Linked DNA regions of Struthio camelus. The protein of the gene in region 1 purifies or fractionates together with the protein of each later gene. This does not show direct contact. Links are inferred from orthologs where the notes say so. Each region holds a gene or a part of one and is shown in the gene's direction. Other genes may lie near its edges. The genes, in order: RPA1, HLTF, SMARCAL1 and RFC2.

The links.
Region 2: the proteins of RPA1 (region 1) and HLTF purify together in Homo sapiens (affinity purification with mass spectrometry, with the first as the bait; 4 studies listed by BioGRID). This does not show direct contact. The link is inferred for Struthio camelus from reciprocal best matches to the Homo sapiens genes RPA1 and HLTF.
Region 3: the proteins of RPA1 (region 1) and SMARCAL1 purify together in Homo sapiens (affinity purification with mass spectrometry; 8 studies listed by BioGRID and IntAct, with this or other methods). This does not show direct contact. The link is inferred for Struthio camelus from reciprocal best matches to the Homo sapiens genes RPA1 and SMARCAL1.
Region 4: the proteins of RPA1 (region 1) and RFC2 purify together in Homo sapiens (affinity purification with mass spectrometry, with the first as the bait; 3 studies listed by BioGRID). This does not show direct contact. The link is inferred for Struthio camelus from reciprocal best matches to the Homo sapiens genes RPA1 and RFC2.

What each region holds. Positions count from the first base shown.
Region 1 is NC_090957.1:16,142,410-16,150,003, forward strand, and holds the start of RPA1 (replication protein A 70 kDa DNA-binding subunit), read left to right. Parts: upstream 1-4,575; 5' UTR 4,576-4,682; coding exon 4,683-4,715; intron 4,716-5,008; coding exon 5,009-5,056; intron 5,057-5,331; coding exon 5,332-5,410; intron 5,411-5,967; coding exon 5,968-6,076; intron 6,077-6,882; coding exon 6,883-6,971; intron 6,972-7,594. Other genes in the region: SMYD4 (SET and MYND domain-containing protein 4), read right to left, coding at 90-222, 954-1,120, 1,434-1,616, 1,941-3,108, 3,584-3,673, 4,074-4,275, 4,317-4,447. UniProt on the Homo sapiens protein: As part of the heterotrimeric replication protein A complex (RPA/RP-A), binds and stabilizes single-stranded DNA intermediates that form during DNA replication or upon DNA stress.
Region 2 is NC_090950.1:34,268,331-34,276,168, forward strand, and holds the start of HLTF (helicase-like transcription factor), read left to right. Parts: upstream 1-4,826; 5' UTR 4,827-4,874; coding exon 4,875-4,894; intron 4,895-5,101; exon of another isoform or gene 5,102-5,240; intron 5,241-6,158; coding exon 6,159-6,366; intron 6,367-6,967; coding exon 6,968-7,134; intron 7,135-7,589; coding exon 7,590-7,723; intron 7,724-7,838. Other genes in the region: tubulin alpha-3 chain, read right to left, coding at 696-698. UniProt on the Homo sapiens protein: Has both helicase and E3 ubiquitin ligase activities. Possesses intrinsic ATP-dependent nucleosome-remodeling activity; This activity may be required for transcriptional activation or repression of specific target promoters.
Region 3 is NC_090947.1:29,554,773-29,561,727, reverse strand, and holds the start of SMARCAL1 (SWI/SNF-related matrix-associated actin-dependent regulator of chromatin subfamily A-like protein 1), read left to right. Parts: upstream 1-3,943; 5' UTR 3,944-4,030; intron 4,031-4,038; exon of another isoform or gene 4,039-4,155; intron 4,156-4,202; exon of another isoform or gene 4,203-4,304; intron 4,305-4,968; exon of another isoform or gene 4,969-5,114; intron 5,115-5,498; 5' UTR 5,499-5,587; coding exon 5,588-6,458; intron 6,459-6,955. UniProt on the Homo sapiens protein: ATP-dependent annealing helicase that binds selectively to fork DNA relative to ssDNA or dsDNA and catalyzes the rewinding of the stably unwound DNA. Rewinds single-stranded DNA bubbles that are stably bound by replication protein A (RPA).
Region 4 is NC_090957.1:12,759,969-12,767,122, forward strand, and holds the start of RFC2 (replication factor C subunit 2), read left to right. Parts: upstream 1-4,153; 5' UTR 4,154-4,221; coding exon 4,222-4,340; intron 4,341-4,926; coding exon 4,927-4,996; intron 4,997-5,654; coding exon 5,655-5,696; intron 5,697-6,089; coding exon 6,090-6,196; intron 6,197-7,154.

The sequences.
Region 1 (7,594 bases):
TGGACAACAGTGCCATCTCATGGCTGGGACCAGGTCTCCCAATGTGTCCTCATTAGCTGCCCACCTTAAAGCAGAAAACTAAGTCTTACCACCCTTGTTGTCGCTTAGCAGTTTTAATGCTTTCTTGATTCGTTGCTGAAGGTCCCATAGCCGCTGTGACAGGCTCTCTCTGCTGACTGAGAGTGCACAAGCTCCATTTGAACAACAAAGTATGTCTTCTCCCTGTGGAAGTCATCCACGCCATCATTCCTGCTCAAGTTCAACTCAAAGCTTATTTTCCATCTCCACGTCTGTATCGTGTCACAGAGCTGCTACATAGTTCCTCAGCTACATTTGTTAAATAAAGGGAGTAGCTCATAAAGTGCTATTAGATTGTTCAGATTTTAGGAGAAACGGGAACAGCTATGAAAACACGTGCTAGTCTGAGCCCACTTAAGATTAAGCTGAAAAAGGGTCATGAGGTACACAACAAACTGTTCATATAAAACACACACTTTTGTTCTCTTTCTTCAAAAAAATGACTTTCCTCATTTAACTCATGGCTAGATGCTGGTTTTGTTTACATCCTGTGAACTGCAGATAATGCAGCTCCCACTACGTATGGCCTCCTGTAGGTACATCCTGTTTTCTAGACTCTGGGTCTCCGTTTCTGTTTCTTAAACACCCCCACTACCCCAATCCATGGCCCTGATACTCAGGGTTTCTTTCAGCAAGTTCAAAGGAATTTTAACTCCTTGTTAAAGGCAGTATTTTCCCTGTAACAGTGGAAGATTGACATACAAGAACATTCCAAGGAAGCTGCTAGAGAGCAATGAGACACTGCCTTGCTCCTGCAGGGTCTTTTGCCTTCAGAGCAGAGGTCACAGACTCAGATCTTTAACTGTGACTTTCCCAGAGACCCAAACGTTACTCACCCTGATATGGTTATATAGTTATAATTATGGAATAATTACCTGCATTGAAGCCCGGCAGCTAGGGCAGCAGAATGAGTTTCTCATGGACACCACACTCTTGACATCAGACTCTATCTCTTCAAGGCACGCCTGACAGCGACACTCGAAGAAATACTGCCTAAGAAGCTGTTGTCTCTCAGCAACCCTCATTCTACATCGATGAGGCCCTGCAAAGGGAGGACAAGGACAGAAAGCGCTAAACAGGTACAGTCCCTAACAAAAGCCTGAAATCTATCCTCGTTTTGACTCAGACTAAATATACCATCTTTTGAAGAGGATGAAACTGGAGACTGTGAAAGCAGAACAGTGGGCATCTGGAGATAAGGACTTGTTCTGATACCTTTGATCAAGACTTACACGTATGCATAAGCTCTAGCAACATTACACTTCAAATTACTATCCTATTAGCAATCAGTCTGCATGCCAAGTAGAAGTGAAAGGATGCCTGGATCTTGAGATAAATACAGAGTTAAAACTCACCATAGCAATGAAAAATCTCTTGGCCTCTTGGGATTGCCTGCGATGCCCTGACAGTGGCAGCTGTCCCACTAAATGATATGCTGATATTGGGACTGCATGAATGGTTCAGAAGGCTGAGGACAGGAAAGAAGGCAGTCGCCAGGCGCACAGGCTTCTTATTTACAACAGCACCATCTCCGGACCCTAAAAACAGAGGGAAAAACAAATATGTTGGGAAGGAAGTCTTAGTGACCCACCAAACTTAATGCAATGGGCACTGGATCCAATCACAGACATCAGTAGGAAAGTTCCTGGCATATTGCTGTAATGAAAAGTAGCTGAATACCATCTAAACGTACACCAAAGATAAGGACAGGCAGGCAGGAGCAAGCCATCAAATTTTACAAAAAACAAGTAGTCATTCCCATCTGCAATGGGAGCTTTTTACAACTGCTAGTTCAGTTTCTCCACTTCACACAAACTAGATGAGCAAGGTTAAGAGGAAAGGGCTTAAAGTGTTTATCTTACCCAACTCTTGCATTACAGTGATCGCTTGCGCGTTACATTGCAGCTGCAACACATGCCTCAGCATTGCTTCTGCCATAATCTTCAACTCTGGAGACAGTTCATCAGACCCATTTTCACATTCTTTTGGCTTGGACCACTCCTCAGACGATTCCCGATTCAAGACAGCAGCCTCTAGACCAGCTTCTTGTAGTTTTTTGCATATAGCTACTATGCTCAGCACGCAAAGGAACTTATGTTCAGGGCTATGCTTCTCAGTATGTGGCAAGAGGTTGAACACAGCTTGGTAAGAACTCTGGTACTGACCGTTGTCATTACAGCCAGGAATCAGAGGCTCTGCCTTCCCAGGGATACCACCTCTGGTATTTGGTACCTCATTGATATGTTTACATCTTGCCTCAGGGCTATGAAGGTCCTTGTCATCATCGTGGGACTGCTCCACCAGCCTACTAACCTCTGCAAATCCTGCCAGCAGAACAGTCCTTAAGGCAACGTGGCAGAAGACCCCTAATGTGAGAAGCAGCGCTCCCAAGGAGCATTCTGTCCTGTGGTACTGTTCCCAGGCCAGATCTGCACAGTTTTGGCTGCAGTACTTTGCATAACTGCATCCACTGCAGGGCACAGAGGCTAAGAGCTGCTTCAGACAACGGTGACAATAAAGATCTGCATTAGTGACCCGAGTGTCCCACACTGTTTCACTACTGTCAGGCAACAGAAGACTCTCCCCTGGGCAGAGAACACTCACAAAGGCCTTCTCTTTCAGCAGATTCTGTCCTGGCAAAATGTCCTGAGAGGCCACCAAATGACGTCCTCTCTCTATATCAAAATTCAAGCTCAAAGATGAAGATGCACCTGAAATGCTGTCATTCTCTTCCCAGATCTCTGACTCTCTTTGAATGGCACCGTGTGCTTCTGGCGCAGGCTCTGGACAGCTCTCTTTCTCATGTACTTTAATCTTCAGTTGACTTATCTTTTTTAGCAGTGCCTGGTGTGTAGCACTAGTCATAGTCTGATCCACAGCAACTTTATTCTCCGCTGCATTGAGGGCCTCTGCTGCATCCTGTAACCTCCCCAAACACAGCAGACATTCAGCTTTCCGCACCAAGACCTTGGGCAGCAGCCTATCTGGATAGCCATGACCTTGAGCCCTCGCAATATCTTCCAAACAAGCCTAGAAACAAAGATGAGGCCTTTTAAACGTACCTGAAAAGCAGTTGAGACTTGTGCTCTTTATCACATCAAAGATTCAACACATTTTACTCAAGATAATACCGATCAGCAGATTCCCTCTCCATAGCCAATCTGTTGGCCAAATAAAGATTCACAATGCAGACCGAAGAGAGAGAAAGCAGGAATTCTTCAGAAACAGTTCCATAACGACGGAAGTTTTAGGCACGCTTCAAAAACACATCTGATGTATACTCTGTTGTGCTAATATCCAAACAGCCTTTATTGGGGGGTTCCTAGAAGCACTCACCTCAAGCCCGACGTGCAAACGTGACATAGTAACGCTCCTAGGCGCCGCTTGGGATCTCCTTTGGCCTATGTCCCCCCTCCAGCTAGGCAGAAGGCCCCAGGTCACACGCTGGGAGCACAGACTTGCTCCAGGCACCCAGGAGCACCTCTGCTCGCCCGCCGCCGCTTACCTCAAAGCGTCCGAGGTGGAAGAGGGCCGCGGAGCGGTTGGCGAAGCACAGGGATACCTCGGGGCTGCCGGGACGCTCGTGCGACGCTGCCTGCGGAGACCAGGCAGACGCTGCCTCACCGGGGCCGGCAGGGCGCCCGCACCGGGGACCCCCTCGCCGGAGGCCCCGTGCCAGGGGCTGACTTGAGGCCTCCCTTACCGGGACCCCCCTCAACCAGGGCCGGCTGTGATCCCCCCTTACCGGGGGGGGGGGGGGAGATGGGATGGACAACCCTAGTCCCCCCCTCACCAGGATCCCCTCAACCAGGGGGCCCCCCACAACGAAGCCCCTCCTTGGGGGCCTCACAGAGCAAAGACCCGCCCCCCCCCCGCACTGAGGGCCCCCTCAAAGTCCCCCTCCCCCACCGAGGCCCCCCTCAGCCGGGACGACCCGGCCCCCCCCCCCCCCCACCGGCGAGGTCCGGCCCCGGAGCCTCCCGCCGGCCGCCTACCTGCGAGTAGAGGCGGGCGGCGGCGACGTACTGGCGGCGCCCGAAGCGCCGGTTGCCCTCCTCCCGGTAGCAGCGCGCGGCCGCCGGCTCCTTGCCCGCGCGCGCCCGCCGGCACAGCCGCCGCAGGGCCGCCGCCGCCTCCTCCTCCTCCTCCTCCTCCGCCTCGGGCCTGCGGGACACGGCGGTCAGCGCCTCGCCTCGCCTCGCCTCGCCTCGCCGCCCCCCGCCGCCCCCGCCGCTCACCCGAGCAGGCCGCAGCCCAGCCGCACCGCGTCGCGCAGCGGCGCCGCCGCCAGCCGCTCCCGCAGCGCCGGCTGCAGCGCGGCCCAGCGCCGGGCGGCGAACGCCCGCCACTCCTCAGCCGGCAGCGCCATCAGCTCGCTCCGATGGCGGCGCCCAGCGGCACCGGAGCGGCCGCACGCTGCGAGCGCTTCCGCCGTACGGCGCCGCCCAGCCAATAGGGGCGCTCCGGCTGCCGCTGCGCGGAGGAGGGGAGGAGCCCGCGCGCCGCGGTGACGGAAGGAGAGCGCGCCGGAAGGAGCGGGGCCAGGCTCGGGGCGGCGGGAGGATTTGGTGGCGGCGGCGGAGCGCGGCGCAAGGCGCAGCACCATGAGCGCGCGACTGAGCGAGGGCGCCATCGCGGTGAGGCGTCGCTGCGCGGCCAGCTCGGGGTGGGGGGGACATTGGGCTAGGTCTGGTCGGAGGGGAGCCAGGCCTAGAGCCGGACTCGGCCCTGAGGCGGCGGCGGTGGGGGGCGGAGGCCGGGCCTGGTGCCCCGCGCCGGGCCGGTCCTGAGGGGAGGGCCCTGGCCGGGCTCAGCGGTGCTGGCCTTGCGCGTTACTTTTGCTGTTTCCCAGCGGTTCCCCCTCTGCTGTGGGTCTCCTGAGCGAAGAGGTGGCATCTCTCTGAGGGTCTCTTTTTTTCCTCCTCTCTAGGCCATAATGCAGGGGGAGAACATCTCCAAGCCCGTGCTGCAAGTCATAGTGAGTACTCTTCCTTACTTCGTCCTGTCAGTAGTGACTGCCTGCGCTTCCTTGTAGGGTTGTGAGCAGGGCCAGACTGCAGCTGAAGTTGCTCAGCATAGGAGCCTTAACGTGATTGAGTAAAGTAGGTTTTGTGTGATTTGAGCTGTGCTGTTGGGAATCAGTGCTCAAGAAGAAAGCTAAATAGACTGAGTCATTCACTAAAGATGTGACTTTGCTTCTGAAGCGTTTCTGAATGAACCAGTGAGGACTAACAGTCTGGTGTTTCCCTTCAGAACACGCGGGCTATTGCGACAGGAAATGGGCCACCGCGTTACCGAGTGCTGATGAGTGATGGTGTTAACACGCTCTCCTGTAAGTATGACAAGCCGTAGTGAGATTTTTACAAGTGTGGAGATGCTAATGTTGCCATAGTTTCTGGTCTAACATCTAGGTTTGTAGTGATGAAATGAGTATTGAAGGAGCAAGTGACACGTAGGGACCGTTTGTATTCTGAATTGTGCCACTGCATTTCAATACTCAGACAAAATCCTTTTTTTCTGGAATTTTTTTGTGAACTGTAGGCAATTAACTCACTGCAGGGTATCATGAGGACAAATCTATAGCGGATGTTTTCATAACAGTGTCTTTGAAGTAGTTTAGCTTAATCATTTTCTTATTTCTTTAATGCATTCTAACTATCATTGCCTGATCGAATCTCCTAAGTTGAGGGATCAAATCCTTATTTTACGTTCAGACTGCTGGTGAATTGTTGGCTGTTACGCTGTTTCCTGTGCTGTAATTAACAGGGCAAGCTGTAGATCTAAATTAACGCCAGTCGACTGACTGGAAAAGTTGTGGCCAACCATGGTAGCCTCTCTTAAGGCCAGCATATGGTAGTTGTTTCAATATTTTTCTTCTACTTTTTGCAGCGTTCATGTTAGCAACACAGCTGAATTCTCTTGTGGAAGAGGAGCGCTTAGCAGCTCACTGTATCTGCCAGATTAACAGATTCATTGTCAACAGCCTGAAAGATGGAAGGTATTCATGTTGTTTTAGATACAGTAATGCTAGTGGGTGCTCTATCCTGTGTGACTAAGCAGAGGCCAAGTGCTTTTAGTTGGGATTATCTGTAAATAATTGGTCTTGAGTGTACAGGAAGGAAAATACAGAAGACAAGCAATAGCAGAAGTAAAAATTACTGAATGTAATGGCAGTGGGTGCGGATGTATCTAATACAGTAGTTTAAGTAATTGAAGGCAACCAGTTGCAATACACAGAATTGTACTGAGGTTATTTTAATAAACCTAAAATAAAATTTACTTAAAATCACCTCTTGTAGAAAAGAAATGATGAAGTTTTCCTGTTACTTAAAGTCGTTGATCTTTCTTTTATGAAGCTTTGAGAGAAGAGAAAGGTAGGATGCTGTAAACTAACAAGTGATTTAGGTAAAGTGACAATCTAAAAACTGTGCAAGTGTGTTAGAGAATGGGAACTGATGTGCTGCATCTTTTTTACTCAATGTTTCTGTAGAGGCAATATAACGTTCCCTTGAGTCAGGGGATGTATCCTCTCTCGTAAGATCTGACTCTGTTCTTTCAAGCCATTTCTGTATGCCCATTCAGCCTGTCATCTTCTGTCTCTGATGAAACGTAATATTGTTTTAAGCCTACCTGTACCTTGTGAGTGGGTTAAGCTGACAGTGGAGAGCTCTTCTTTCCAGATCTCTTGTCCAAAAATCTGCCCCTACTGGTTGTTTCTCTTATCTGCATGCAAAGGATGTTCAAAGTCTGTTGGACTTACAGAGGGAGTGAAAATCTTTATCGCTGTCTGCTCTGTGTTTGTAGGAGAGTAGTTATTCTGATGGATTTAGATGTTCTGAAAACTGCTGATATGGTTGGTGGGAATATTGGCAATCCGGTGCCATACAATGAAGGTAAGTAACTACTGTAGAAAAATACCTTGTCTGAAGAGACTGTTAGGATGGTCTTTCAGCTGCCTGTTTCGTTGTATTTAACAACGTGCAGGCAGATGCGTTCCGCTTCCTTATGCCTGCAACAGTGATGTCCAGATCTTGAACGTCCTTTTTATCTGTGTAACGCAAAATAAACTTTGTTTGTATTCTTGTAAATTCTTCACCGTGGCTGAAGTTTCAGTATGTGGTATTGGGAAGTATCTATAGTTTGTGATAACATTGAGAGCTTTTTATCATACATTAGTGGTCTGCATCTAGACTTCCAGTAAGTGTGCAGAAGCTGTTCTGTATCTTTTCATAATGAGTAACCCAAGAGACTAAGATTTTTGGTCTGGAAAGAAAACAACAGGAGGAGGATGTAATAACGATCTATGAAACTGTAAGATAGCATTGGAGGGGATGAGTAAAGAATGATGACTCTCTCCCTCTCTTCTGTGTTCATTTGATGCTCTTTAGTTCTTACATTATCAGACTGTGGTTTTAAAACAAAGGCTGTACCACACCCCCAAACACTGCATAGTTAAATTATGGAACTCGATGCTACATGATGTGGGTGCCAAAAATTGGCACAGATTCAAAAAGCA
Region 2 (7,838 bases), on another chromosome or scaffold:
CATGTTTTAATTCTCACCATCGTGGTTTTGTCAGTCTTTCGACAGCGAAGCTAACCGCAGTCGTTTCCACATCCATCTGGCCTGCCCCAAGGCTCCGTAGCTTTCTTGCCACCTTGCCGTTTACAGTTTCCTACTGCCTACTACCACGCGACTCTCAGAGCGCGAGCAAGAGGCGCCAAAGCTCAACTACCAATCCCGCCCCTTCAACACTGCTACCACCCGGCGCCACGTTATTGGCTGCGGCTCAGACTCCTCTCCTCTGATTGGCTGCGCTCGCAAGATTTGAAAGGCAGCGCAACCAACCGACGGTGCAACGCGCTCGTTAGCGGCCGCCATCCCGTTTCTTGTCGTCCATCTGCCACTTGGGTCAAGCCTTAGTCCGTCCCTCGCCTCCCGCCACCGCTCCGTGCAGCCGGCACACATCGGTAACTGCCCTTCGTTGCTTTTGTACGCGCTCTCGTCCCGCTAGGTGCCCGTTAGTTTCCACGCCTAACCTCGACTGAACTATTAGCTCTTACAGCGGTTTCTCTCCTCCTCCCAATCCTTCCGCCTTACTGCTGCCGCGGAGGCTCCACGCGGGTGCACCCTGCAAGTCCTCTTCCAGCACACGCAACCCTAAACTCCCCGGACCTGCCGCAACAGATGCGATCCCAAATTCCCCTTCTCTCCCCAGCCGCGAGGATCCCCTTCCCCACCATGTTGCCTTGCTAAGGCGAGGAGCTTCGGCTACGCCAGGCGACGTCCGCTTCCCTCCGCCGAGCGGCACCAACTGCCAACGGCTACCCGCCTCTCGCCTCACGTCCGCGCGCCCTGGCTCCCCATTGGCTGTTCCCCGGGCTGTCCGGAGGAGAACGGAGGCCTCTGATTAGCGGAGCGCGGTCTTCTCCCCACGTGGGGTGGTGCAGGCGCGTGGCTGTGGCGCTGCGCGGCGGGTGCTGGAGCGGCCCTGGGCGGGAGGGCGCGGGCAGGCGGGGCCCCGCGCGCTCCGAGGCGGCCGGGTCGACGCCCCTCGCCTGGCCTCGGGGCGGGGCGGGGCCGCTCTGCCCTCTGCTGGGGGGCTCCGGCGGCGGGGCGGCCTGAGGGCCTGGAGACCCCGGAGCCGTGGGGACGGGACGGGACGTCCGGGCAGGAGCGCAGCTGCTTTCTGGAGTAGGTGCCTCGCCACAGGCCGTTGTGGTGAGGGCCGGAACTTGCTGCTGCTCCGCCCGGGCTCGGCGTGCGCCCTCCTCGTGGAGCTGCTGCTGCGCGGAGGCTGCAGTAGAGGGTCAGGTGCACCCTGAAAAACGCCGTGAACGCCTCGTGGTTCCTTCCGTAGGAGCAGAGAAGATTATTTTCGTGTGCTGCTGCTTCTACTTAGGAGTCGAAGAGAAATCTCATGGACAAAACATCGCTAGAAATCTGTATTTATTTTAATGCATTTTTAGTGAAGATTAGACAGGAAGGCGTTAACAGTTTAAATAGTCTTCTTCAGCCACTGATTTTTAACCTGCGTGTTCCTCATTAACAGTCTGGTACAATAGGAGTACTCAGGCCAGGTTATGATGATCTCTATATATGACGAAGTGAATGAAAGTTGAAGAAAAAAACCTTCGTCTTTTGGTAAGGTAAACCTGCAACAAATAAACTAGATATAGCATGTTAGCGTTAGTTCAGATTTTTAAATGACAGCTACCGCATACTATTCTAGTTAATGAAAAGTTAAATTTGGTACATTAAAAATATGTGTGTAAGCATATGGGTAGATAGTGTTAAGTCTTTACTTGCCCAAGAAGATGAGCTTGTTTATAAGCTCGTCATTACTAAATGCTAAAAGCCGTAGTTCCAGAAACACTCAGTGCATTTGAAAACATGCTCACTTTGGCATTTAAAACTTGTTAGTTCTCCTCATTTTTAAAGGCGTCAGACACCTTACATGTCCAATTAATTAATGACGTGAACCCACCACAGCCCTTGCTTTTTATTATGACTTGCAACTTCATTTTGAAATACTAAGGTTGGTCAAAAAGTCGGTGTACGAGTTGTTTTAGGTAAGTATGATGTTGGAAGGGCGAGTCCCAACTGCAGGCGGGGTGGGCGGCTTCTTAGGCCAAGTCCTACCTGCGGTGGCACAAAGCCTGGAAAACCAGGCTGGGAAGGGTCGGGTTTTTGGCAGTGGCCTTTTCTGAGGGAGGTGACACTACTCAGCGGCAGCAGTATTTGCACCTTTTCTTTGAAACATCTTTTCTTCGGAGCAGCTGGCCCGAGGTGCCTAGGCTTGTCGCCCGTTGCTCTTTGTCCCTGGTCCATCCCTTCCCTTTCTCTGAAAGGAATACAGGCAAAATGATATGTTGCCGGCCTTGCTGAGAGGTCTTGAACCCACTCTTGAGCGTTAAAGCTAAATGTAATCTTGTAATTACTTCCAAAAACAAACAAAACCAAGGCGGGGTGGGGGGATGCCATTTTGTTTGTGAACGGTTTGTCCTTTTATCTTTGGAGTTTTCTCTTTATGAATGAATTGCCAAAATTGAGGTTTTGCTATGTTCTGTTTTGCTTTGAATGTGTTAAAAGTAATTATTACTATAAAATTGCGTTGGATTATTTGAAAGCAATCAAGTATCTTGTATGTCTTTCTGTGAATAGCTTTTCTGAAGCAGTTGCGGATGTAACTGCAAATAAGGGTGGTTTACCCTATGAATGACAGAGAATACTTGAAACGTGCTGCTGGCTGGACCCTAGGTGTGTGCAGGACCAGAAACAAGCTTTGAAGAGGCAATACCTTTAGCCTTGTTTAGACAAAATTGTTTTAATGCAATAGCAATACACATAGGCAATAGATACTGTTTCTGAAAGTGATCGTGCTGTTAGCTTCTGCATTCCCATTTATTCATTCTTATGCAACTTGCATTTGATATCAGGTGCTTTTAGTGTACATTTGCATCTGTTGTTTTTTTTTTTAAGTTCTGAAATACATTGGAGTAGTAAAACTGATAATTTTTCTATTAGCATAAAGTTATATGTCTTTATTTAAAAAGAAGTATAGCTATCAGGTCTTTAAACCCGTTGAGGTCTTCAGGTGTTTTGGTTAAGACCTTTTTTCTTTCTTTTTTTTTCCTTTTTCTCCCTCTCACCCCTCTCCCAACATCCATTTCCTCTTGCAAGTCCTTTCACGTTTATTTTAAAACTTCTTTTTACACATTTTCATTTTTCTTACTATCTTATCTGTAAATGTTCCCTGTAAAGGTGTCAACTATCGTACAGTCACTTGGAGACAATAATGAAAGCTGTTGTTTACTCTCCTTAAATACTTTGGACTGGGACTTTGGCTTGGGAACAAGATAGGATAGTGATTAAAATCAGATAGGGCAAAAGTTACCCTGATGTAATTTTTAGCACACCATGATTCCTGGGGTTTCGTCATTTCCAGTGACTTCCTAGCTGGTGACAATGCTCATGGTGAGTTTATCAGTCTTAACTTTCTATCGATGTATCTAGCATATTTTAACATAACTTTAGACAGGACGCTGCTTGAGACCTCTCCTCCCTCTCACATCTCTTCAGTATTATTGAAATTCAGAGTGTCTCAATTGGAGAAGCAGATAATTTTTCACAAATAGAGTATGCCTTAATTGCCGGAGAGATATAAAGAATAACTATAATTCACCAATAAATTTTAGAAATTTAGAGAGTTGACAAACAGAAAAACAGTATAAAAATATTATAAACTAGTACTTTTAGTAAAGAGGAAGCTACAAATGCAATTATTAAAGCAAACATTTTTGAAGGTTGCTGGTTTGCAATAGAGGGTTATACATCTTTTTCTTGTTCGGTTATAAAATGCAAGTTGATCTGGGAGCATTGTGGAGTTAAGCAATGCATGTTATTTGTTCATCAAGCTTCCTTACCATATAGGAAATACTAATGAGTAATTGATGGCCCTTAAAATCCAATACTCGTTATTTATTCCTTTGCAGGGCAGTATTTTCTTTACAATAAGGATAAGAAAATTGCTATTCCCATTTATTCTCCACTGCAGTAGGATGACGGAGTACAACATTAATTTAGTCTTTAAAATACATTCCATCTTACAGTGATAAAATGTTAACACTGTTAGCATTGTTTACATTACTTATTAATGTCTACACTGACTTTTTTAGTTAACAGGCAAAACAAGGTACTCCGCACGCTAGCAGTAAAAACTGTTAAGTCTAAAATTGCAAAAAAAAAAAAATAGTAATTTTACTACATTTACAAGGGTAATCATTGAATCTCTGCAGATATTTTTACTGCAAAATAAGGAGAACACTGAATTTTCTCTTCTTAACTTTTACCAGAAATAATAGCCAAAGTAGTAGTTAAATTAGGCTAAAATTAGAGTTTTTGATATGTTGTTAAACTGTATACAATTGTAGCATGATTGTGACTTGAAAATTTGCACTGGCTAAAAACAGGCGCGTAGACAAAATTCCGTCTTATATCACTGCATCTGTGAGAATTTGTCAGTAATTTCAAGAACAGGATCTTGCCTAGGAAACAGCACTCTTTTTTTTTTTTTTTTTTTTGAAAGATCTCTGTAGACTGAAATTAAAATCAGCTTCTAAAAGAGGGAATTAACTCCCTCTTAAAACTGCCCGTAACTGCGGCAACGTCCGTACCGGTCTGTCAGAGCGGGGACCGACTGCCCTCACACAGCTAAAAACGTGCGGGGGAGTGGGGTGGGGGAGGGGAGGGGAGGGGCGGGCCCGCCCTGCCCCGCTGGCCCCGCCCCCGCCGTGGCAGCCGTGTCTCCATTGGTCGGCGCCTGTGCCTGCTGCGGCGCTGTTGGCGGTTGCTGTTGTCAGTCGGTTCTGAGGCGCGGGGGGCGCAGGGCCGGCCGGAGCGGTGTCGAGGCCGCCGCCATGTCGTGGAGGCCGCGCAAGTGAGGCGGGGGCGGGCAGGGGGCGGCCGGGCCGGGCGGGGCGCGGCGCGGCGCGCAGTGCGGGGCCGCTCCGCCGTGGCGGTGGCGGGCGCCGTGCGGGCCTGCGGCGCTCTCCGTGCGGCCAGCGGCGGGCGGGCTGCCGGCGACCCCTCGCTGGCTCCTCGCGGCCTGCTCTAAGCGAACCTCTGCGACTGTGTTTGCTCTCAGAGGAAGCGTAGCGTTGACTGTGCGGTAGCAGCTTTAGAGGTTGCATGCGAAAGAAGCCGAAGTGTAGCGGTGCCAAGCTCCAGATAACTCGTATTGAAACTAATCGCTTTCGTTGACAGTATTCTTAATGGAATCCGAGGTACAAAAGGTCATGAATAACTGTTACAGGTTCATTTACACGTGTATCGAGGTGTTATTGTCACATGTTGCCCATTAGGCAACGGTTAGTACGTTTGCCCTCGCTTGACTATGCATCTGACTTGACTGCAGACGTTTCCGTCTGTCAGTTGCTGTGCAAGAGCAGCAGTTATTAGGTGTTTCTCCTCATCGGAGAGAGAAGCTGGCTAGTGGAGACTTATACTACAGATATACAGCGTCATTGCTTGTGCCAAGTTGGAGTAGCAGTTTTCTTCTAAAGCTATGTAAAGTGCTGATAATAGACATCAAAGGGTGACGTAAAGCATAATGCAAATGTAGGGAACTGCTGTTTAGCCTTGCGACTCATAAGATAAGTATTTCTCTTAGTTCTTTTATGCTGTCTCTTGTGGCTCTGTAGGCATGAAGTCATGCAGGGGTAATTGGTTATCGACACTTTTTTAACCTTTCTCTTAGGTCAGATAAATTGGTGTTTGGAAAATACTCGGAAACGCTACTGTACCAAGTGCAATTAGGGACATAACTAAGGCTGGAAGAATAATTGTAATTCTTAATGTAGCTGACTAAGATACTCCTGTGAGAGAACGCAGGAATAGATGGTAAAATGCACAAATGCTTTAGTGTAGTCCGTTATGTTGTCAGTTCCTCTTTATTGTAATTTGATTAAGCAAAGTTACTGGAGATTAAAAAAAAAAAAAAGGTAGAAAAAATGTTACTCTAACAGAAGACTTGTTTGAATGTTTTCAGGTAAATGTTATCTGAATAAAATTGCTAGACTTACGTTTATAGGTAGCCATCATGTAAAGGGGTGAAAATAAGTGATTACAAGGAAATAATCATTCTATTATTATTATTATTAATTAATCTATTGCCAAATAATTCACGTTGTGTCTTTCTGCAGAAGTCCTGCGTGGGGATGCTCTCCACGTAACACCTACAAAGGAGAGAGAAACTATTCTGATTATTCCTCTTCTGAATTTTATTCCAGTCTTGGGTTAGAAGACTTCTCTATAGGTGACGCTTCTGGAACAGATGAGGATATCGATTCAGCTATCTTATATGGAACTTTGCGGGGAACTATTGTTGGATTACGATACTACAAAGGGGTTGTAAGTGCATGATAAATAATAAAACAGAACGAAGAGTTGTTGCCAGCTTCAAAACAGTCCTATTTAGTTAAATTTCAAAATTCCCCAGAATTTTTGGCTAAGTGTAGTGCTCGTAGATAATTTTTTCTTTTCCCACTTGCTGTATTCAAAATTCTTTACAGGGAATGCATAATCTAAACTTTAGTCTGTTTTTCAAAAGGCAATTAAGGTAGCTATCTTTCAAATCTGCTTTAGCCATTTGGTAAATCTGGTCATCCACCTGACTCGCATGTAAGTGACTGAAAGCAAGAAATTACATAGGCCTTTGGACTGTTCGGGCTGACAAAAAGGGATGCTTCTTCCTTTACCGAACAGGTTTCACGAGGCTAACACTCATCTGCTGTGTTGGTAGTCAGATGTAGTTCTTGCTCTCAGGAGTACTTCTGTCAGGTTGTTGTTTTGTATTTGCTTTTGGTATTTTGAGTAAATAGTAAGTTATTACAGAGACCGAGCAGAATGCTATGCCAGATTAACTTTAACTTCAGGACATTTAAATACATGTATGTTAAATATTTCTGCAAATAATTTGCACCTTAATGAATGTGTTTTGGGTTTTTGTTAGGTTAATAACAATGAAATGGTTGCGCTGCAGAGGGAGCCCAATAATCCTTATGATAAAAATGCGGTGAAAGTAAATAATGTGAATGGAGACCAAGTAGGCCATATTAAAAAAGAACTAGCAGCAGCATTGGCAGGCATTATGGACAACAAACTAGCAGTAGTTGAAGGGTAAGTGGGCAAATTACGCTTTTAGTTCCATGAATATAAAGTAATGGAAGCATTTTGCTGCCGCCCTAGCATGTTGTGAAAACTATTACAATTATTCTCTTTTGGCAGAAATGACCACTCAGAGTAACATGATTCAAGCTTCACGCTTTCAGGGTCTTTACTACTCTCTTGAACTACTTCCTTTACAGTTCATTCTTCTCTATATATGATAAACTTCAGAGATCCTAGCGGGAGCAAATTCCCGAAAGAAAGGTTGTTGTGGAACAAACTAGATGCGATAGATTTTGTAACACGGGCCTTAGGACACGCTGCGTAAGCTTGTCTGGAAAACTGTATCTTTTGCTGAAAATAAGCACTTTGGAATACCTTGTACTGAAAAAAATAACAATTCATTGTAGAAGATTATAAACAATTTAAAGATTAATGGAGCATGGGTTTTTTCTGGTTTTTAACAGGGTTGTCCCTTATGGAGCAAAAAATGTCTTCACCATGCCTGTACAAATGAGTTTTTGGGGAAGAGAAGAGAACAAGGAAGCTGTGCTAGATCAGCTAAAAATGCATGGTTTTAAATTGGCTCCTCCTCTGAAAGGTACGTTGAACGTTTTATGCTTGCTTTTTTAAATGTTGAAGTTGAACTGCCCCCTGGTTGGAAGAAATGTTTAAGGGCTTGATCCTTGTCATAGCGTTGTCATTCATAAAACTTT
Region 3 (6,955 bases), on another chromosome or scaffold:
TCTCTTGCGCACCAGGAAGAGAAAGGGCCAGAGAACCATGGGTAGTTTTAACCAACAGAAGCTCAAAAGTTGGCTTCACATCAGTACTAAAGCTATAGGATTAACTGTTTATTCTGAGCTTGAAAACTAGGCCAGTAATTTAGGCTCCAGAATAGAACTGGGAGGGCAACTTTTGTTTCTTTAGCCTGGTTTCCTAAGGAAATAAAGCTTATGCAATTAAGTTATCTGTGCGTACATGTGGGCCTCCCCTTTTAACTTTGCCTCCTTCAGCCAGTTCAACCATGTTTCACCAAGATAATGTTTTGTTCTGCATTTGGGGAAACAAACAGTTGTGTAGACCAGAGGGATGTATGATGGCCTGAACTCAAATATATTATAAGACATCGGGGGGTCCAAATTGCTAGTGCCTCCCAGAACTAGATCACACCTCACTTTGTGTTAAATGCTGGCAACACAGAGGCTTTGGAAACCCTGTTTGCATCTTAATGTAGGATATTTTTTTTCTCTTTTAAATCTTTATTCCAGGTGCCAAAGAACTGTCCCACACACCTGAGTTCTATCATATAAAAAAACAAGAGTCAGCTCAGCCTTGCAGCAACCATGTGAGTGTGGTGGAGGCCTGGCAGTGAGGCAGAGGCCATGTGCTGTGCAGACCATTGCTCTGGACTGGAGCTGTGGAGAGGAATCCAGCCAAGAAGGACAGACGGCAGAGAAGAGCCCCTGCAATCTGTTGGAGGGGCTGCACAATAAACAAGAGCAGGAAGGCTTCAACATGCTAGGGGAGAGCAAGCTGTGTAGATAAAGGCGGCTGCTTCAGAAGAGTGGATGGTGACTAATTTTCTTTGCACGGGGTGGCCAAGGAGCAGGGAAAGAGGATTCTTCTTCACTGAGCTGGCTGTCAGAGGGGGGAGCAATCCTCACATGTTAGAAATACCGAGAGAAAAGGCTCCACAGGTCCCCTTTCATTAGGGTTTTAAGGGCAGCTGGGCTCCAAGTTTTAAGGGCTCCAAAGTTCAAATTTTGTCTTTGGTGATACAAAGAAGCTCTGGGAAAGGGTCTGATTCAGAGTGGAGTTGTGGTAGTAGCTGGGCTGTCAAATGGGCCAGTAGGCCATTGTCCTTGATGTGCCGAGGCAGAGAGAAAGTAGAGGGTATTAACAGATGACTAAGAAAAGAAATCCGGGAAGAACTGCTCTGGGAGAATATGGGGTCAGCCACTGTGCCCAGGTCCAACCCTGAACCCCAGCACCTGTGGGAGCTCTGAGCATGGGGTTCTGGCTCTCCATTAGGAAGCTTTGACCCTGCTGAGGACCCCAGACCAGAGAGGAAGGAGCACAGCCCCTCAGCCCACGGATCAGGTGCTGTAGAAAGTATTCAGCTCAGATCCTAGCAGCTCAGATGACAGATTGGTTTTCCCCAATGAGCTGTGCCAGCCCAGGGGCCTTTCCCTGCCTCCTCTGCCCTTAGACCTTCCTTGAAGGACTTGTGTGTGACCTGCACATTCTCACTCTGGTCACTTGACTGGTTTTACCTGGGAAGGAGCTGATAAAGCCTATGGTCTTGGGCTTAATTTCTTTTAAAGGGGGTGACTACAAGTACACCTCGGCTGGTCAAAGGTGAGTGTGTTTGGGAGCTGATAATGGTGTTGCTGAGCTCCATGCGGGCTTCTGAACTCCTCTGAGAAGTCGGAGCACCCGAGGGCTGTTACTGCATGCCAAGCTCTGTGTTTCTGATTGTCTCCCAGATGGCACCAGGCCTGAGGATATGCAGCGGTGAGAACCATGGAGGTGTGTTTGAAAGGGGATGGAGCAAGGTGAGTACATTCAGCACGACAGCAAGTGAGAGAGCCTGAGAGCAGCTCAGAAGATATCCCCAGATGAAGAACTGTGAGATACAGAACAGGTCCAGGATCCGGGGTCACTAATATTTCAGATATTAGCTGCTGTTTGTACAAGATGTATGACAAATGTCCAGGCAGTTTTGGTTTCTTTCAGCAGGAAGCAGTCAGGATCAGCCAGTCCAGTCCATGAGAGGATCACTACATTTTGAGTATGATCCAAATGATGGAAAGATCCTAGTGAGAGCAGTACTGAGAAGCCTGTTTCCTCAAGCTTTTTTGCTAACTGGAGTGGTTCTGAGGAAGCGGAAGAACCATCTCCTCCCCAGCAGAGCTGGGGTCTGCTAACCCACTCATCCTCTCAGGATTTTCTTACTGCATCTCTGTTCCCTGACCTAGTATGTGGAAGGTGAATCCAAGCCATTGCTGGAAGCATGTTCTGATTGAAAGGACACCTGGAGTGCTACCAGCAAACTGCTTGCAAACGGCCTCTCATTTTGTAGGTCTGTTCTCTGCATGGTTGGGCTGTTCCTTGTGCCTTGCTGAAGTTGTGCCATATGGAGCAAATGCTTCAACGTCTGTCTGTGTGTCTGCCTGACCGTGCAACCCAAGAGCTCTTATCTCTGCAAATGATGCTTTAATTTCATTGTCCTCATGAGCTGGGGACAGTCCCTGAGAGGGGCTTTTCTCTACTTCTCCCAAGTCTATTCTTTTCCAGCTCTCCCAAAACATAAGGAGTCATCACGAGAGCCCTGGAACTGAACAGCCGCTGGAGAGAGAGAAAGTGGCTGAAATACTTGCAGGGTTATGCTCTGTGCTTCCTCCCTCTCTTGCCTGTATGTAACTCCGGGCTCTGGTTTAGCTTTGAGCAGCGCAAAGTGTGACAAGAAAGAAAAAAAAAAACTGATCTCTCATCCCTTCCTTCCTCTCTCTGCCACTTAATCAGCTTGAGGCCACTGGCTCAAAAGGGAAGAAAAGGGCAATCACTGATGATCTGAAATGAGACCACAGGACTGAACATCCTTTCTTACCATGCTCCGGCTCTGCAGGGGGGAGCCCTGGCTTCTGGAAGAATGGTCAACTTTTACTCTTTTGCTGTCTTCCTAAGAGAAACTAAGACAAAACTCTTGGTCCAGATCTCTCCTCAGCACTGTGGCTTTCTTTAAAAGTTGCATGTTTGCGAGTGTCTGCGTGTATGTGCCATGCTCACGTTTGTGTGTTTGTGATTCCTGGGTGAATAACTGCACTCCCGGGGTTGTGCTATTTGTCAAGTCGCACCTCATCCTCGCTGCCTGCCTTGTTTTTCTCAGGCTGACGCGCTCCTGACTAATGGCAGTCACTGCTTCTTAATCAGAAAGCAATTTAAGGATAACCTTTTTTAATTAACAGTGGAGAGAAGACTGAATAAATAAACTGTGAAGCAGCCAGCTGGCTGCTTTGTCCCTAGCTGAGGGGTCTGTCAGGTGGGGGAAAAAGGTATTTGGGGACAGCGACGGCAGGGGCTGAAGTAGAAGGTGGGAAGGGGCTAGGCTGCTACCCAGAGACGATCACTCCAGCTACTCTGCTCTGGTCGCTCACAGGGGAATCATGACTTGAACTGTCCAGGAGGGACAGCTTGCTCTACGTATTTAAACCCTGAAAAGTCCTTTTATTCCGAATTTTAAAATGGAGGCAAATAATTACCTCATTGTGAATTTATTGCCACTCTTTTTCCATGTATTAACTCTGTTTTTAATTTCATGCACTTACTAACACCTCTAAGAGTGACGCCCTTCCTCCCAGGCCAACCAAACCCGGGGCACCAGGACACCGTTGTACGTGTGGTTTTGGGAGCGTGGCCCAAAAGGATTGAGGCTGTGGGGCACCGGGGTAGGGCAAAGGCACGGTCCATCACGGGTAGAAGGGCTCCTGCGCCCTGCATGTTCGTACGAGAGAAACCGGGGCGAGAGGAGGGTGCTGCGGCGCCCGGCTCCACAGCTCGAGCCCCTGGGCCGCGCTGCCCTTCGCGCCCATAAGATGGCGCCGGGAGGAGAAGACTACATTTCCCAGCATGCCGAGCGGCCCACAAACCATCCCAGTTCGCGGCGTGCCACCTGCGGTGGGAGTACTTTATTCTCTAGAGCGGGGCCTGCTGGGAGTTGTAGTCCGCGCGGCTGCGCGCCCTTTGGCGGGGATACCCGGCCTCTGCCATCCGGTGGGTGCGCGGGCGTTTGGGGCGGGGGGCGCTGGGACGTGGCTGCGACTCAGGCGCGCTGCAGGGGAGCTTCGGGGCGATGTGGGACATTGCGGCCTGTAGGGCGGGCGCCGGGCCCCTGAGAGGTGAGGGCGGCCCGGGCCCCTGTTAGGGGTGGGCTCCGGGCCCCTGTGGGGTGAGGGGGCCCAGGCCCCTGTTAGGGGTGGGCGCCGGGCCCCTGTGGGGTGAGGGCGGCCCGGGCCCCTGTTAGGGGTGGGCGCCGGGCCCCTGAGAGGTGAGGGCGGCCAGGGCCCCTGTTAGGGGTGGGCGCCGGGCCCCTGAGAGGTGAGGGCGGCCCGGGCCCCTGTTAGGGGTGGGCACCGGGCCCCTGTGGGGTGAGGGGGCCCAGGCCCCTGTTAGGGGTGGGCGCCGGGCCCCTGTGGGGTGAGGGGGCCCAGGCCCCTGTTAGGGGTGGGCGCCGGGCCCCTGTGGGGTGAGGGAGGCCCGGGCCCCTGTTAGGGGTGGGCGCCGGGCCCCTGAGAGGTGAGGGCGGCCCGGGCCCCTGTTAGGGGTGGGCGCCGGGCCCCTGTGGGGTGGGGGGGCCCGGGCCCCTGAGAGGTGAGGGCGGCCCGGGCCCCTGTTAGGGGTGGGCGCCGGGCCCCTGTGGGGTGAGGGGGGCCCGGACCCCTGTTAGGGGTGGGCGCCGGGCCCCTGTGGGGTGAGGGAGGCCCGGGCCCCTCTTAGGGGTGGGCGCCGGGCCCCTGTGGGGTGGGGGGAGCCTAGGCTGGAGAGTGGGCGCTGGGACAAGGGAGCCTGGTGTTTGGGAGAGGAGTGGGGCAGGGAGTGAGCCCCACAGTGCAGGGAGAGGAGGGCAGCCCCCAGGATAGGATGCTAGGAGTAGGTGAAGCGAGGCCAGTTCCTGGGAAATGCGGTGGGAGCTGGGTCCTTGTTCCCATCAGAAGGTCCTTGAACTGGAGTGGACCTTCCTCAAGGCAGGAGCTGACCCTGCCCTTTGCAGCAAAGTATTTCTGCTCTATGCTGTGAACGGCCTGAGGACTGGAGGACGCTCAGGAAAGATGGGGTGTGGTCCCTTCTTTTTTGTTAGGTACCAAAAATGTGAAACACTTCCCATACAAAACTGTGCAGATTAACTGCTTTGCATGCATTTGCCTTTGTGGGGCAGCCTCTGTGCTGCAGGGTGTCCCTGTGTTTGGCCTTTTTATCTGAACTGCCAACAGCTGGGATTGGGGAGGAATGGTGCCCCAAGCTGGCACTGGAGTGGTATGAGCAGGTTCTCCTTTTTCCATATGCTCTATCTATGTGGAACTGCCCTGCAAAGCCTAGCAGCGGTTGTCAGCATCTGCATGCTGACAATGGCTTAGCATTGACCTGACAGCTTTGCTGTTTTTGTGTAGGATCAGTTACAGTAGTACCTGATCACTAAGAATACCTACAGAGTTGAAACTTCCTGTCTGCTATATTTTTATAGGCTGGCCTCCAATCCTGTAAAGAAGCAACTGCCCTGAGATTAACTCCCGATGTGGTTTTGATTCAGGATTATTATTTGAATTGCTGAAGATGTCATCAGGCCTTACAGAGGAGCAAAAGAGAAGAATCGAAGAGAACCGCCAGAAGGCCTTGGCTAGGAGAGCAGAGAGACTAGCAGCCCAGAGAGGTGGGCAGGTGGGGAGCACTGAACCTCAGCTGAAAGAGCGCAGTTTACGCAATCAGGGAAACTTGAAGCAAGAAAACGATCATGTCAGGTTCATTAGCCAGCACCAACAGAATCCGAACAGTCCTAAGGAGCAGAAGAGCTATCTTCATAAAGATTATAATCATTGCACTGCAAACCAACAGATGGCTGGCTCACATGGAGAGCAACAAAAGAATTGTTCGGAGGACTCAGAACAAGCAAGTGGCATTAAGCAATTCCCTGCAACGATTCCAAATTCTCTGAGTTATTCCCATCAACATAACTCAGGTGCTGATGGCCAGAAACACAATCAACAAGCTTTAATTAATCTTGGTACATTCCAGCAGTCCAAGTACTACCCAGCTTACAAAAACCCTACAGAACTATCTCATCCCAGATTAATAGATAACTGGCACCCTGGTGATATTAAAGATTTACAAAGTCAGAGCAAATCTGCCACTAAATATGTTTCACCACCAAGCAGCACCACCCCAGGTGATTCAGAAATGCTGATAAACACAGGCAGATCAACAGAAAAAGAGGGAGGAGGTGGTGCCTCTCAGGCCAGTGGTAAGGTGCAAAAGCTGACCAGCTCTGCTGGTGCAGGCTCTACCTTTGAAGCTGTCTCTCACAAGAAAGCATGCAGTGTTACAAAAGGAAAGTGTGTGAAATATGGAGAAGATCGATTCCAGGTTGAAATAGGGTATAATGCCGAACTCATTGCTGTGTTTAAGAAGGTACCAAGCAAAAGCTACGGTAAGATTTGCTTGTTTGCTCATATCTCTGTTTTACATTGGAACAAAATTTCAGCATCTCTTGGAACTGTAGTTGATATATGCTCTTAGCAATGCATCTGCTGTTAGGGTGGAATATGGAATATTAATGGGGGATTGGAAGTAAAGGCAGTTGAAATTTGGAAAGAAATTCAGGGACTGAATAGCTTGAACTTGGATTTAGCCAAGAAATCAGAAGTCCTGACTTATGAACCATGCTGTGAGATGATTAGTGGTGCCAGCTGGTCAGGGTCTTTTGGGAATGATGGAAGAGAAGTTATTCATAAACTGATGTGGGAAAATGGGTCAGTCTGAATTCAGCTATCACTCAGAGTTGATGGGCTGATTCTGTTAACTGGGTTACTGACAGGACTAAAGCCTGCACCTTTTCTGGTTGCTTCTGTTCTTTTCTTCTGGCTGTTATTTGCATATTTATTATTGTTAGTATTTTTTTTTCTCCTCTGTTGCTGCTTTCTGTGA
Region 4 (7,154 bases), about 3.4 Mb from region 1:
TTAATAGAGGTGTCCATACTCCCTCTACTGACTAAAGTTGTAACCACACATCTGGTCTTGAGCTGGGTCCAAGTAGTTTTCTATCATGTGCTTTAGAAAAAGCAAAGAATGGAAATGTCAATAATGTTGTTAGTCTTAAGCATCCAAAGACCAGGAGGGTAGGGCTTGCAAGTCAGTGCTCTTGAATCTTGTTCTTGTAGCCTAAAGCATTGGACAAGTTACATTTATTCATCATCATATGCATAAAAAGTTAATAACACTTCTTAAATTGTGGTGATCTAAATCCATTATTTTTAGATGGTTATAGAAAAGATTTTTAAATACTGTAAATATCAGATCTTCCTGACAGCAATAACCTGAAATTAACCTTTGCATCTACTTTTTTCACAGTGGTTAATGGGCTTTAGCATGACTTGCCTCGCTTCCAGCAGTGTAAGTTTATTAACTGCAGACTAATACAGCCAGCTCTGCTACTGCTTGTAAATTTATGTGACAACATAGAAAAACATGCAAGAAAGAAAGAAAGAAAATGTAAAAAGCAATTAGAAGTCATAAATAAAAGTGCTCAGGTAACAGAGCTGACAGAGTCATGTTGTGTTTACACAGATTACTCTGGCAAGCGACCGTTGCTCTGCAGCTACTGAAGATGCTCACGTGAGAACAAGGATGAGGCAGTGGCTAGGGAAATAATCGAGAAGATAGCGTTCTGGTGGAGACTGAACATGCGACCTCAGCTATATTATTTAGGAACAAATTTTAAACAATACAGATAAAATTATTCATTAGTCAACTTGCACTGATCTGAGCTTATGTTAAAACAACATAAACGTACCTCTCGGAGACGTTCTACAGATAAACGTATTAAAAGCTGAGGGGTGCTACGATGCTGCAAGAACAAGGACAAGTTAATATCCTGTGTATACTCAGAGCATCATCACTGTTTTTGCTCTTAGAGCTCAAACACCATAGCGCTACAAGAATCAAGGCCCCTGTCAGTCTGGGCCCAGACATGCCAAGCCCAGGAAAGCCACTAACACAGTGATGCCACATTTCATAAAGACCAGCCCAACCTCTCTTCTAATCTTCCCATCATTGCTTTCACTACTAGTCTTTGTACCAGCTTTACTTTATGCTTTCAGTCTCAGTGAACGCAGGATAAAATGGTTGGTAGTATCAGAATTCATCCCACTCTCTCCGAGCTAACAGTGTGAAAGAGCAAGAGCAGGGAATATTCTCAAAGGGGACTGCAGACTCCACTGGCGGCAAGACCATCTGCACTACGTGACCTACTTGTGGCAGCTGAACAACAGCGCACTGCAATAGGAGGTGACAGTTTTAAGCTAGACTGCAGGGCTGGTGGGGATGGGGAATGAGCAGCTGAAGGAACCCTGCACTTTCTCTAACACTGTAATTTAAGATCTCAGCCCTTGGCCTTCTAGACCTGCTGGATAGTGAATATCATATTTGTCCTACCAATAACAGTAAACTGGATGCAGTGTTAATCCAAAAGCAAAATGACCTTGAATATAAGACTATTTTTCTTCTACCCCCCAGAAAGATTGTATACAAGACTTTTATTATTTTTCTATAGTGAAAAATATGTATGTTGCATGTTCATTAACAACTTGTCTGAAGTCAGCTGCTTCTTTTAGGCTTTACCTCTATTGCCTTTTGGTTTTTACAATTCACACGCCTTCATCATTTCATCACTGTCACTCTTCACCATCTTCAACTTCTGCCTCACTTTTAGTGTCTTCGCTAGTCTCACCTTCTTCAAAGTCTAACAAACCTTCTTCAGTTCCTACCACAGGACATGATATACAGGATTTCTGAAACCCTTTTGCCACAGCTTTTGCACAACTCCCTGACAAAACCTGCTGTACTGGCCTTCTTCAGCTTCTCTGTAGGGGCTAGAGCATGAGCTCTTGACCAGAGCCAATATGAGAATAAAGACTCTCCATGGTTTTGAAAGGACTCATTCCCTACTACATTAAGCACCTACAGCTGGGTCATCACTGCTCCTGGGATGACCACAGGATCTGTGGTCATCCTCTCTTTGAATGCTTCCAAGACAAGCATTCCTCTTGCTTACTAAATTGTTAGTGAAAAGCATGCATCTGTACTGTACAACAAATATTTAATGAACTTTTTGCATATATGTTTTGGGGTGGGGCAGGCAAGAAGGAATTGTCTTAAATTCAGGGTCATTCTCCTTTCAGGATAATACACTACATCTACCGCATTCATGTGCGTTCATGCATCTTTGATGGTATATCAAAAGAGTTCTGCCTCTTCAGCACTGATTTGGAATTCATTTTATCCCGAATGCAGCCTGTGATTTCAACAAAGAGACTACATTAGCAACAGTACAAGTTTTGGAACAGATAGTTTTTAAAAGTTTCAGCTCAAGTTGTTGTGACATCTCAGCAAACTAGGTATGCCTATCCACCTGCCGTGCATCACTATCAACATTCTCGTGACCTCAGCAAATAATTGTTCTGTGTTAGACACACTAGAGAATCACTGTGGAAATGTGAGGAGCTCCTGTCTACATAGAAGCACACAGCACTATAGTGCTTTAGAAGACTGTGCTCCAAAGAAACGCATATTGCCACTGCTTAGTGGACACGTATCACAAAATCTTTCATCAGGCTCTCTGCAAAAACTCTTATGAATGATCTTTCTCACAGTCCTTTGGGTGCTTATCAGCAGCAATACTGCACATATAATGGGAGAATTAATGCTGGCCAGGAAAATTATATCTTATCTAGAGGCTGGCACTTCCTAAGAGCATAACAATTTGGCAAGAAATCAAAGCATGTCCACTGTGTTATACTGACAGACTTCTATGACCAGCAGTGCTGAATGCAGCTGAGTATTTCATTGTCTCATGTTGGCGCCTGCTGAATACTGCAGTAAGCTGAACCCAAAGACAAGAGTAACACAGTGAGTCTGGTGTATTAGAAGAACAATGTATTCATCCAGTACGAGTGCTATGAACAGTCTAAACACTGAAAAAAGCCAACTGCCTTGCCCTAGGAAGCCACATAATCATGTCTTTATTTATTCTTCTTACCTCCAGTGGCTGAAACCCATAGTTACTTTAGCCACTTAAAGTCTGCAGATCACTTACAGTTTCACCCTTATGTAACACTTATCACAAAACCACTATGGACTGCATACAGCTATTAATAAGAAATACAACAAAATTAAACCAGCAGCCATCCTGCCTACATAAACTACACTTTGCATAACATAAACTAAACCCTCCAGAGTTTTGGAATCTTTTCAAAAACTCAGCAGACCGGATCACTGTCAGGCCACAGGCAGAACTACTTCCAAAGGCTGAAGGCAATGCTTCCATCTGCAAACACCCAGGTGTCGACCTCAAAAGCCAAGCAACAGGCACCAGGCCTTAAGATAACTACATTCAAATGCAAACGTTGTGGCAAGTGATGCAAAGTCGCCCTCTTAGAAAAACATCATCGCTCACATAGGACCTCAAATATGACCAGTACTAATTTCTTGTTTCACATCCTGTTTGGAAATACTTCCCAAGGGATTATAGCTCAGACTGAAGGAAAAATCCCCTGCTCACTAAACCAACAGAAGTACCATTGATTCTGCTGAGCATAGCAGAGCCTGAGGATGCACCAAGGCCCCAGTAACTACTGAAATACCAAACCACCAAACTCTTAATGATAACAGCGCCACCACGACACCCAGCTACGGTAACATAACTACTTACGATGCTTTGTGATGCATCTTTTATTGTTTTCATTTTATACAGGGAAATAAAGATCGCTAAAAAAGGAAACAAGTGCTTAGACCTCTGGGTTGCAAACACATTACTGTTTTTACTAGGCGACTTAACACTTAACCGGTCAGTAAGGGAAGAAGAGCAGCCAGACTCCCAAAGAACTGAGCGCAAGCCCACCCAGCAGTGCTGTGAGCGGCCCCGACGTCTAGCTGCCTGCCTCTCCTCAGCAAAGCCCGGCCCGGCACGGCCCCAGCACCTCCCCAGCCCAGCTCCGCCGCCAGCCGCCAGCAGCGGAGGGCGCAGAGCAGCGGCCCCAGCGCCGGCTCCCAGCAGGCCGTTCCGGGGTGGATCGTCCCCGCCGTCCCGCCCCGCAGGGCGGGCCCCGGAGCGCAGCGCGGCCCTGCCCTCACGGAGGCGGCGGGGACGGCGGGAAGGCAAGGGCCGGGCCAGCTGCCGCCGGGATGGAGGCGGAGGCCGCGGAGGGCGAGAGGGCCGGGCCTGCGGCAGGCGAGAAGCGGGGCTCCGCCGAGCCCCCGGCCGCCGCCGCCCCCGCCGCCAGCGGCCATTACGAGCTGCCGTGGTGAGGGCCGGAGGCGACTGCTGAGGAGAGAGCGCGGGGCGGCCGTCGGGCGGGTGGGGGAGGGGCTGAGAGGGCGGGCCGAGGGGGCCCGGCCATTGGAGCAGAGCGCGGCGGGAGGCGGGGCTTGGTGTGGCGTAGCCTATGGGGCGAGCGGAGGGGCGCGCGGCCGTTGGCGCGAGCGGAGGGGCGGGGCAGGGCCGTTGGCGGGAAGGCGGGGGCGCGCGCGGCGCGGCCGCGTCCCCTCAGGAAGGGGCCGTGAGGGGCCCGGCCGGTCCCTGGGCCCAGCCTGGGGCTGAAAAGGGGCAGACGGGGGGGTGCTCGTGTCCTGGCTTCACCCTGCCTTCCCTGTTTTCTGATAACAAAAGTTACTAACTGGGACGAAGCGAGGATTGCAGAATTAGTGCCGTGGAGTAAAGCACTTAGCGGAGCGAGGGGGGAACGACACCCTCCCTGGCCTTTACGTAAAACACATCGAGCCCTCTTTGCTCCGTGCTATCTTAATGTAACCCTCCTCTCGCGAGCAGCGTAAAACGCTGTTACAAGTTCGATTAGGTGTGCTTAAGGGGTTGGGGGTTTACTTTTCCAGGGTGGAAAAATACAGACCAATGAAGCTGTGTGAAATAGTTGGAAATGAAGACACTGTGAGCAGGCTGGAGGTGTGTTGCTGTTCCTTTCTGTTTCGTAGGTTAGCTCAGAAAATGTAATTCCGCCTAGATCCCCAGACCGAAAAAGCACTTTTGTGTTTTGAGGTGCATACTGGAGTAAAAGGAAAAAATTTTCTCACTTAACGTAGAAATCATACAATTGAGAACATAGCGGAGCGGTGTTCTAAAGAAATACTCCTTCTCCAAGTGGGATGTTGCTTACGTTGGCCCTGTTTTGGTATGAGTTAGAAAACTTGTAGCTGTTACAATAATAGTGTTTCAATGAATAAATGTAGCTTATACTGCAATGGAAAGAAACATAATGAGCGGTTTTTCCTTCTGGAAGAAAAATATTCTCCTTGATAAACTGGTTTGTGAATGCAGTGCTTGTAAGCAGAAAGCTCATACTAGCAAATATGTAATTAAAGCAGATGGAAGGGCTAAAAACTCTGCTATTAAGTGCTTTTAAGTTTTCTTCCATATTATTCTAGGGATTGACTTCTAACAGATCAATTAAAAAAACATGAAAGCAGTGAGGTTCAAAAAATGGAAGCAGGAGGGAGGAAAAGAAATTATTAGCTCCTTTTCTCATGGTTAAAATGGAGTGGAATTGGGAACTGTTTGGTCCCAGTTTTCTTATATCAATAATTTTTTTATTATTTTATCTTAGGTCTTTGCAAAAGAGGGAAATGTACCAAATATTATAATTGCTGTAAGTATTGCTATGCTGTACTGTATTTCACTATGTTGGTCCTAGCTTTTGAAACTGAGCCACAGTAGCCTCCCCATATAGATTTGCATGGCTCCTAAATGTATGGGTAAAAGAGACCCTGATTATATGGTCACAGAGCAATATTCTTGGCAGAATGCAAAAGAAAACCTGAGAATTAACTTGGTCCTTAGGTACCTAGTGAAGCATGTCTTGTACTTCTCCCTGCAGCATTTCTGTCCACTGTTGGAGGCTGGATTCTGAACTCAGGCAACTCCTAGTCTGATGTTCTCTCTGCAGTTCCTCCGTTGCAGCTGTTTTTCCTGACTGCGGGCATTGCGGAGAGCAAAAATTAGAAAAAGGCATAAAACTTAACGGCCATTGTTGCATTCCTAGGGTCCGCCAGGAACAGGTAAAACCACCAGTATCCTCTGCTTGGCTCGCGCTCTGCTTGGTCCTGCATTAAAGGATGCTGTTCTGGAGCTGAATGCCTCAAATGATAGGTGAGGATGAGAGCTGTATAAATCTAATCAAAGCTTTAATGAAGAAGCAAGCATCCATTTTTATTTTTAGTTGAACTCAGGCAGGCTTGATAGGCTTAATGCTGCAGTAATGCCTCTAATACTTATTTTTAATGCAGTTTTTCCAATTAAAAGTTAGGCAGTCTTTGGCTATACACCTATTAATGTAGCTATTATCACCTGATATTTTACCAACTTGATAGATATTTTCAAACACAAAAATATAAACAGATGGTGTGCAGAATCTGTAATGGTACTGTCTTCTCAAGTTTACTTTAAGGAGTTAGGCTTCTTGCATTCATAAAGACCCTCCTAAGAATGAAAAGCGAATAAGTTGTTTGGAATGGATCTCTTCAGTGCTTAGGACAAAAAGTGATAGAAATTAGACCTGTAAAGGTAGTTGATTAAACTGTAGGATGAGCGTGTTACATATGTAGAGGGCACTGAATCTTTTCCAAGGATCAGGTGCTAAAGCCTAATTATAATATTTTCCTAAGTCCTTTAGCAGACCCTGTCCTGAAGTATTGTGAGGACTACAATGGAAGGCTGTATATGAGCATAATACATTGTACTGCCTTTGTTAATATCAGTTACAGAAGAACTATAGAATTATGACATTCCTTGTTCTAAACAGAACAAAAATAAAATGGTTTATTTTTAAAAGTAACTCTTTGGTGGGCTTCTGTCTAGGAAAGTGTCCGTGTTGTGCTAATACAATGCAGTTTGTCCAGCTATTTCTCTTAAATGGTTCTGAATTACAGCTGAGTCTGAGGGCATAGCTACATAAAGTATCGGCAAAGTGGCAAAGCAGTCTTAAAAGCTCCTGCCCTTGTTTGCTTGCTACCCTTACCTTTTGACAAGCATAACTGCTTTTGTGGCAGTACTGTAAGGTCACTGAAATAATCTTTTAAATTATTTTTTCAAAACTTCCAGAAAGGAG